Bombyx mori: one gene and its partner. The protein of the gene in region 1 interacts with the protein of each later gene in a pairwise test. Links are inferred from orthologs where the notes say so. Each region holds a gene or a part of one and is shown in the gene's direction. Other genes may lie near its edges. The genes, in order: LIM and senescent cell antigen-like-containing domain protein 1 and ras suppressor protein 1.

The links.
Region 2: the proteins of LIM and senescent cell antigen-like-containing domain protein 1 (region 1) and ras suppressor protein 1 interact in a two-hybrid assay, tested with the Caenorhabditis elegans proteins (2 studies listed by BioGRID). The link is inferred for Bombyx mori from reciprocal best matches to the Caenorhabditis elegans genes unc-97 and rsu-1.

What each region holds. Positions count from the first base shown.
Region 1 is NC_085112.1:7,031,665-7,034,919, reverse strand, and holds the end of LIM and senescent cell antigen-like-containing domain protein 1, read left to right. Parts: intron 1-57; coding exon 58-199; intron 200-1,026; coding exon 1,027-1,217; 3' UTR 1,218-2,579; downstream 2,580-3,255. UniProt on the Caenorhabditis elegans protein: Component of an integrin containing attachment complex, which is required for muscle development and maintenance. Probably function in adherens junction.
Region 2 is NC_085115.1:769,652-774,093, reverse strand, and holds the start of ras suppressor protein 1, read left to right. Parts: upstream 1-1,525; 5' UTR 1,526-1,572; coding exon 1,573-1,723; exon of another isoform or gene 1,724-2,011; intron 2,012-2,105; exon of another isoform or gene 2,106-2,417; coding exon of another isoform or gene 2,418-2,568; intron 2,569-3,011; coding exon 3,012-3,302; intron 3,303-3,624; coding exon 3,625-3,707; intron 3,708-4,442.

The sequences.
Region 1 (3,255 bases):
TTCCGTTTGAGTCGAAAGCAATAAAAATAATAATTTAAAGAAAATTTAATTTTTCAGCATTTCGTTTGTGCCAAATGCGAGAAACCATTTCACGGCCATCGTCATTATGAAAAGAAAGGCTTGGCCTACTGCGAACAACATTATCACCAGTTGTTCGGCAATTTGTGCTACGTCTGTAATCAAGTTATCGCCGGCGACGGTAACTATTCGATTATTTCATTTAAAATTTAATGATTTCGGCATGTGATATGATGAGGTTTCATAATTGTCTGTATTGTATTGGTTTATCGTTTAAGTACACTGTTCTGCGTAATAAGTAAGTTGTGTTAATAAATATAATTTTTAATAAAGAAAACAATCGAAAATGGCCAAGTGGAGTACACGCAATAGTTAAATTTAATAAAAATCTTTGTTTTTTAACTAAGTTTAATAATGCTTTAATATCGTGCGGGCTAATACTGGAAAAAGCCTACTGAGTTTCTCGTCGGATCTTCTCAGTGGGTCGCGATTCCGATCCGGTGGTAGATTTTGCGAAGCAACGTCGTCAGGTTAGAGCACCTATTCGCACAGTTAAGTTGACATAACCTCACGAGATTACCAGCATAAGTGGTAAAAGAACGGGAAAGATTTCTACACATAGCTGTTGCACAAAATAAGTTCTGAACACAATATTTGTGTTATTGGTTAATAATCATAAACGTTTTTATAATATCACAATTCACTTAAAAACTAATTATATTCAGTGTGATTTGAAATTATATCTTGCTTATTTAGCTGATTTTTTTATATTATCGAATGAATATATTCTTAACTTCTTAAAAATTTGTGTGCTAGTATGTATTATAATTATGAAGGTTTTAATGTGAATATAATATAGGTTATATATCACAAGTAACATGTTACACATAATATGTAACTTATTGTGTTGTACTGCTGATTGCTACTTCAATAACACAAACTGGTCGAATCAAAAATATCTATTTAATTTACCATTTTTTTTCTTAATAACTGTAATTTTATTCGTAGTATTCACCGCATTGAACAAGGCTTGGTGCGTACATCATTTTGCGTGTTCCGTTTGCGATGCGCCGCTGAGCACGCGTAGCAAGTTCTACGAATACGACGAGAGGCCCGCCTGTAGACGCTGCTACGAGAAGTTCCCGGCTGAACTACGACGTCGGCTACGTCGGGCTCATCACTACACGGTCCGCCGTTAACGAAAAATACAAGGAATAAACGACATTAATCTGTCTATACCAGTGGTGGGCAAACATTTTTAATGGCGGCCACAATGTTTAGGAAATACTAGAGGAGGGCCAGAATTATAGAAAAATGTTTTTTTTTCTCCAATAAATGAGATAATGAAAGCTCCAATTCGTCAGGGGTGTTTTGAGGGGAGTTTTGAAAAATTCGAAGATTTTCAATTATAAACGTCAGATTTTATTTTACGCGCCAAACTGCCGACTAGAATATTTGGGACGGACGGACTCTCGGCGGGCCGGATTAAAATACTTCCGCGGGTCGTACTTTGCCCATCACTGGTCTATACTATACTAAACCACTATACCACAGTAATGTCGGTGTTCACATTTTTTTAACATAATTAACTAACAAATTTAAAAATATAATAAATGTAGTATGCACTTGCCATTTGTGCCTTGAAGTACCTACTATGTAACAACTAAACTTATTAATGTAATATATTAAGTGTAAAATGTAATAATTAATTATTTTATACCATACAAAATATAATGATTATGAATGTTGTCTTTACTCGCACTGATCATTGACGCGTTCGCTATTTTGTTCAAGTGCAATGGATTTATTTATTGATTTGACTCCTTTAAAAATATTATTTTGAAGTCGCTCTTATCTATTTACGACCAGATGAGCTATAAGTCAATTTAACTCTATTGGCAATAAAAATGTATCTGTTGAATGTGCTTGTAAACTATGTTTTGAATTAAGTCAAAATATCAGTTTGGTCACGTGAACCTGAATTTAAAAGCACAAAATATAAACGTAGAACTATTTCTAAGTTAACTATTTATATTAATGAACTCAAAAGGCTTGGCTTCATAAGCCAAAACGGAAACAAATCTGTAGATATTGTACACTATATGAAGATTATTAATATAAATTTTCGATGATTTTTATAAACCAATTGAACTGAATATTACAGCAAATGTGTGGTCAAAATGACGAATTTGGATCTAATTATTTTTTAATATTAATTATATAAGATTATCTTAGCCAGGGACAATGACAGTGACAATCAGACCGATATAAATGATATTTGAAAAACCCTCTGAAATGATAAATATATTTCAAAAAATTATATTCATTCCATTTTGAAGAATGCTACTTTTGACTATAATATGCTACTGCATTGTATATTAATGTCACGTTTTTAGCATGCCTTACATTAGACGAAAATTATGATTTAAAAGAAAAAAGAAAACTTGTTTCGCACCCTTTGTAATATTGTTTTTAACCCTTTTAATGTATAATACAGATATTTTATAATTTAATTTAGATCTAAATATTTATGTAACACCAAATAAAGTTTTTTACTAACACGTTATTCTTTTGATTATTGTACAATGCACGGGATTAGGGTTTCGTCAAGTTACCAAATACAAAATCAAAATTTTGGGAAGTTTTGATTTTAAGATTCTAATTTGTAATTTATTTTGTTATAGACAGCGTGTTTAGTGCGACTTTTTTAACGTTCTCGCATGTAATTAGTATGGAGTTGGAACGTTTGTCCCTAGCGGCAAATTTATGTTACCTTTTACGCTATCGAGAACGTTAAAACACTCGCATTAAGCACATAGATAGGCTATATTGTCATTTTATAAGTGGTCGTTGTTGCTCATGAACATCAGCAAACAAAAGGGTAATAATAAAAATAAAATCATTTATTGTCTTTCACATTAAATAGAATAAAATACAAGAAAAATAAAAATTAAAAAAAAGACAAAAGGAGGTGGCTCAGCTAAGGCTGTTCAAGGTCGATAAATCGAACAGCGCTGATTATCCACAATACGAGGTTCTTTATTTTAAGCTATTGCATAGCTTTTTTTAATGTTTAATATGGCGTGGTCTTGTTTTAATATTAAATTATAATTGCATAAGTTGATAAAAAATGCATACCGCGGCAGTTCCCCAGTGCCACACGTTTGTTTTTTTTTTATTGCTTAGATTGGTGGACGAGCTCATAGCCCACCTAGTGTTAAGTGGTTACTAGAGCAC
Region 2 (4,442 bases), on another chromosome or scaffold:
TTTTTTGCTTAAACTGGAATGCTAGTTACATAATTTTAAATTAGACAACAAAGATGCCCCCAAGACTCAATCATTTTGATCCTGATATAGCATTATATACATCAACAACTACCTTAAAATTGCTCATAAAGTTGGAATTTGTCCCTAATCGCCCCATTTTACGGTAATCTATGGGTGACACTATGGTGACACTGCTATGTAAGTAGGTATGTACGTCTAACGTCAATTTCTTTTTCTTTCTTGGATATTGTACAAGGCAAAAGGAACGCAGTCTATACAACTAAACTTTAAAAAAAAGACCGAAATCATATCTGTTGAATGAAAGAAAAATTAATCACAAAGATATCAAATTGATGAATTAAAATAACCTCCCAATAAATTCTAAAAAAGTTTGGAAACTCAGTAGATTTTTTAAGAGAACTCGAGAACCATCGATTTTATTTCTCGCATTTCGTAAATTCGAGCATAGTTATTGTTACCATAATTATCAAAAATGTTTAAGTGTAAAGGCGGCAGATAATGGCATGGAATGGTCCGTAATAAGCTCTTGTTGCGAGGAGGTGGTCACGACCCTCAGTATTGAGGAAACCGAAGCAAGAAGAAGAAGAAGTGTAAAGAAACTTCAAAACCAACGAAATAATACAATTCGTATAGCCTCTTAGTATACTCTCGACAAAATTTCCCCCGTAAACTTTAATAGGGGTTTGATTTATATAAATAATGTTGTAGATTTAATTTTTTCAGGTCTAGCTAAATTTAATTCTGTATGTCTTCTACCATTATGAAATGAAATTGATATTTATTAAAAATGTTTTGTAAAATGTACATAAAATGTAAACCCATCGAGCCTATTTCTGTGGTGAAGCAGAGCATTCTTATTTAAAACATGGAATAGCTGATAGTGCCCAATGCAATGATAACATTTTGTCTTAAAGTCGGCTTCAATGGCTCAATTAACCTTGTAATATCCATGGGAGAGGGGACAAACAATTATACCAAAAATAACTAGAAAATTTACTAAAATAACTAGGTATATGTACGACTTTTCTTCATTTTTTTGTCAAGATCAAGAAGCAACAACTTACCAAAGCAAAATGGTATAAATTAATGTTCCAGAGCGTTAATTATTCATTCTTCTAACATATGTTAGAAAGAGACAGACATAGAAAGAGAAAGAGAAGAAACGAGGGAAATAATCATTTCAAATTTGAAAATTATTACAATGTAAAAAATAAAAATACCATAAATGTTAAAATATATATAGTAAGAAATGTCTCAAATTCTTGATCATGTTTAATCTTTCTTTCGTAAAGAGGCGAAAGCCCTAAAAGAAGAAAGTAGTGATTGATTTTTCAATATTTTTCATCTTTTTGTAGTGATATTCTAACAGTCTATCGGGATATTTAACAGACTACGATATATAAATATATTAGACAAGTAATACCCGGTCAAATAGAAAATATTATGGTAAATAAAAAAAAAACAGGATTTGAAGGTTGATGCTTAACAATGTTAATTTTAAGGTTTGAAACGCGATTGTTGTTTGGGCGTAGGAAAACCATCTGTTTGATAATGAGTCATCAACCCCCAGTATCTTGTATTCCAAACACAGGCAAGATGTCGAAAGCTAAAAAAGTTATTGAAGAAGCCAAAGAAATAAATAATCCGGAAATCGATTTAGTCGACAAAGGAATATCTAGTCTCGAAGAGATTCCAGGCTTATGTGAGTGTCAAATAAAACCTGTTTTGTATCTTTTTTTTTTAACTAAATATTTTTAGTTCGTTTCAATTTTTACATCTATGTTTCAATAAAAAAGCTTAGATCGAAACCTAAGCTTAATGTATACTTTCGAATTTTAATTTATTCTACAGTTAGCTAATTTTAAAAACTAATAAATAACTGAAGTATTCTTACAATAAGTGTATTCGCCTACATAACCGTTGCAACTCATCTATAATAAATATTTTGAAGACAACAAACATGAAATATTAATTTAAACCTCATTTGGATGTAAATTCTCCAATGTTAACATTATATTAAACATAATAATATGTAATATAAGGTAAAAAATTGAAGTACTAATTAAAATATGACATCACTGCAGACCTATAATTCAAAATGAAACTCCTACGCCTTAAGACGGAACAGGATCAAACTTACGCTTAAAATAAGCCATGAAATATTGAAAAATGTTTGCAAGTTCCACACTACATTAGAACCATCAGTCTACTCAGTTATGGGTTTCAAGAAACTATGTGATTGAATGTACTGATGAAGAAATAGAAATAAAAGAATAACATTGCAGTGCTTTATCTGAAGGAAACAAACATCTTAGTGTCTTATGTGCTTATTAACCATTTAATATTAGAAGATTTGTGCATAGGGCCCACCTAAAGGCAATTAGTCACTGTTGTGCATGTGCTCAGTAATTATAGGGCAACAGCCATACTGGTCCATACTATTGAGCACTCCACAAACCTCATTTGAAGTAGAACAGGAAGGAAGGGAAAAATGGTGGAGGATAATTTATTCTAAAGCTGGATACAAAATAGCAGGAAATATGTCTGGTAATGCATTGTGGATGAATGCAGTGGTACCACATAGTATATTTGAATTGTGTTCTTGTGGTGGGCAATACAATAGTAAAAAGTAAATGAACAAATTCTTAGAGCACTTTCCAAGGAGCATACAGTACAAAAAACAGAGACAATTTACTTGTTTAAGACAATTTACTTTAGAGGGAATTCCTTCTGTAAACCCAAAGACTACAAATTGTCTATGTGAATAATATTATCAACAACATGGCCCTCTTTTGTATAGAAACAGATGGTTTGACCAGAGATGTGAGCAGTATTCCATGTGTGTCCGAACTTGTGCTTACAGATCAATGTATGATAAGAAAAAAGTTATGTAGCCCAAAGTATACAATGAGAAAACTATTTCTGTGATGACTTTGTATGCAAATATTAAATTCAAATAAAAATCTACCCAAATCTATTATCTTTTACAGTTTCTCTGGAGAACATCACTCGTCTGTCCCTAAGCCACAACAAAATCTCTGTAGTGCCTGCTGCACTAGCCAACTTGAGCAACTTAGAAATTCTAAACTTGGCCAATAACAACATTCAAGAGCTTCCAGTCAGCTTATCATCACTACCCAAGTTAAGGATCCTCAATGTTTCATTAAACAAACTGTATAACTTGCCAAGAGGCTTTGGTTCCTTCCCTGTGCTAGAGATATTGGATCTAACATACAATAATTTGAATGAAAAAGTATTACCTGGGAACTTCTTTATTATGGGTAAGTTATTTAAAATCATTTAAAATCACTAACTCTATTGGTTTTCTCACCCAGTTGAATATTCGTCTCTGGAACAACTATTGAACACTTTATCTCTAAGTACAAAGGCTATAGTGTGAATCTTTTTTGATGTTGATAGCAATAATGGATGTAGATGTAGGTCAAAATTTGTATGGTAGATAATTGGCTCCACCTAGTATCAAATGTGATTTGATACCTGCAATTCCATAGATATACATCAAAAGTTTACTATACAATTACATACATCTCACCACCAATCATGATGATTGACTAAATAGTACTTTTAATTCACTATTCACAGACAGTCTCCGTGCTTTGTATTTGGGTGACAATGATTTTGAATTTCTACCACCTGAAATTGGAAATTTGAAGAATCTACAAATTGTAAGCATTCTTTTAATCATTAGTCAAACTTTTAATTTACCCATGATTAGTGAGCTTTATAGACCACTCCATTAAATAACCTCTTACAGACCTGAGATATTTGAGTCTGCTACCTATAATATCTAAACTATAAGCGGAAATTGCATCCAAGCAGCATGCTGATATATACTACACAGACGATGGCACAATGCACAGCTTTCGTCGCCCTAAGCGTGTCAGATCCTTCCGATCCAATTAGTGTTTTAGTTCTAGTTAAACTTCTTGAAAAGTTCCACTTGTAACTTAACCTATAGACACAATCTGCTAAGTTTTCGCCGGATCTTCACAGACAGTCACAATTTCGATACAAGTATTAACAAGTTCGGTTGAGCCTGATGAGCTCATGTGCCAAAACGTACATAGCTGAATTAGCCCTTCGAGGCGAGCAGCGATTAATTATGGAAAAAACAATGTTATTGAAGAAGTTGGTAATGAAAAATACACAATTGGGGGATATCATTGTATGAAAATAGATTGTCTTAAAAATATCTATTTTTAATATAAGACCAAATCTTGTTTTTTATTGTTATGTTTCAAGAGAATTTTCTTAAGAGTGCTATATTTAGTGAAGGAATTAATAGAAGCTGTTTTAGTTTACAAATCGACTCATCTAGGATTCTTTATATATCTAGCTAATAGTTGTAAACCAATCCGGTCGTTTCCATACACAAACAGGAAACACGTTAAAATATGTTT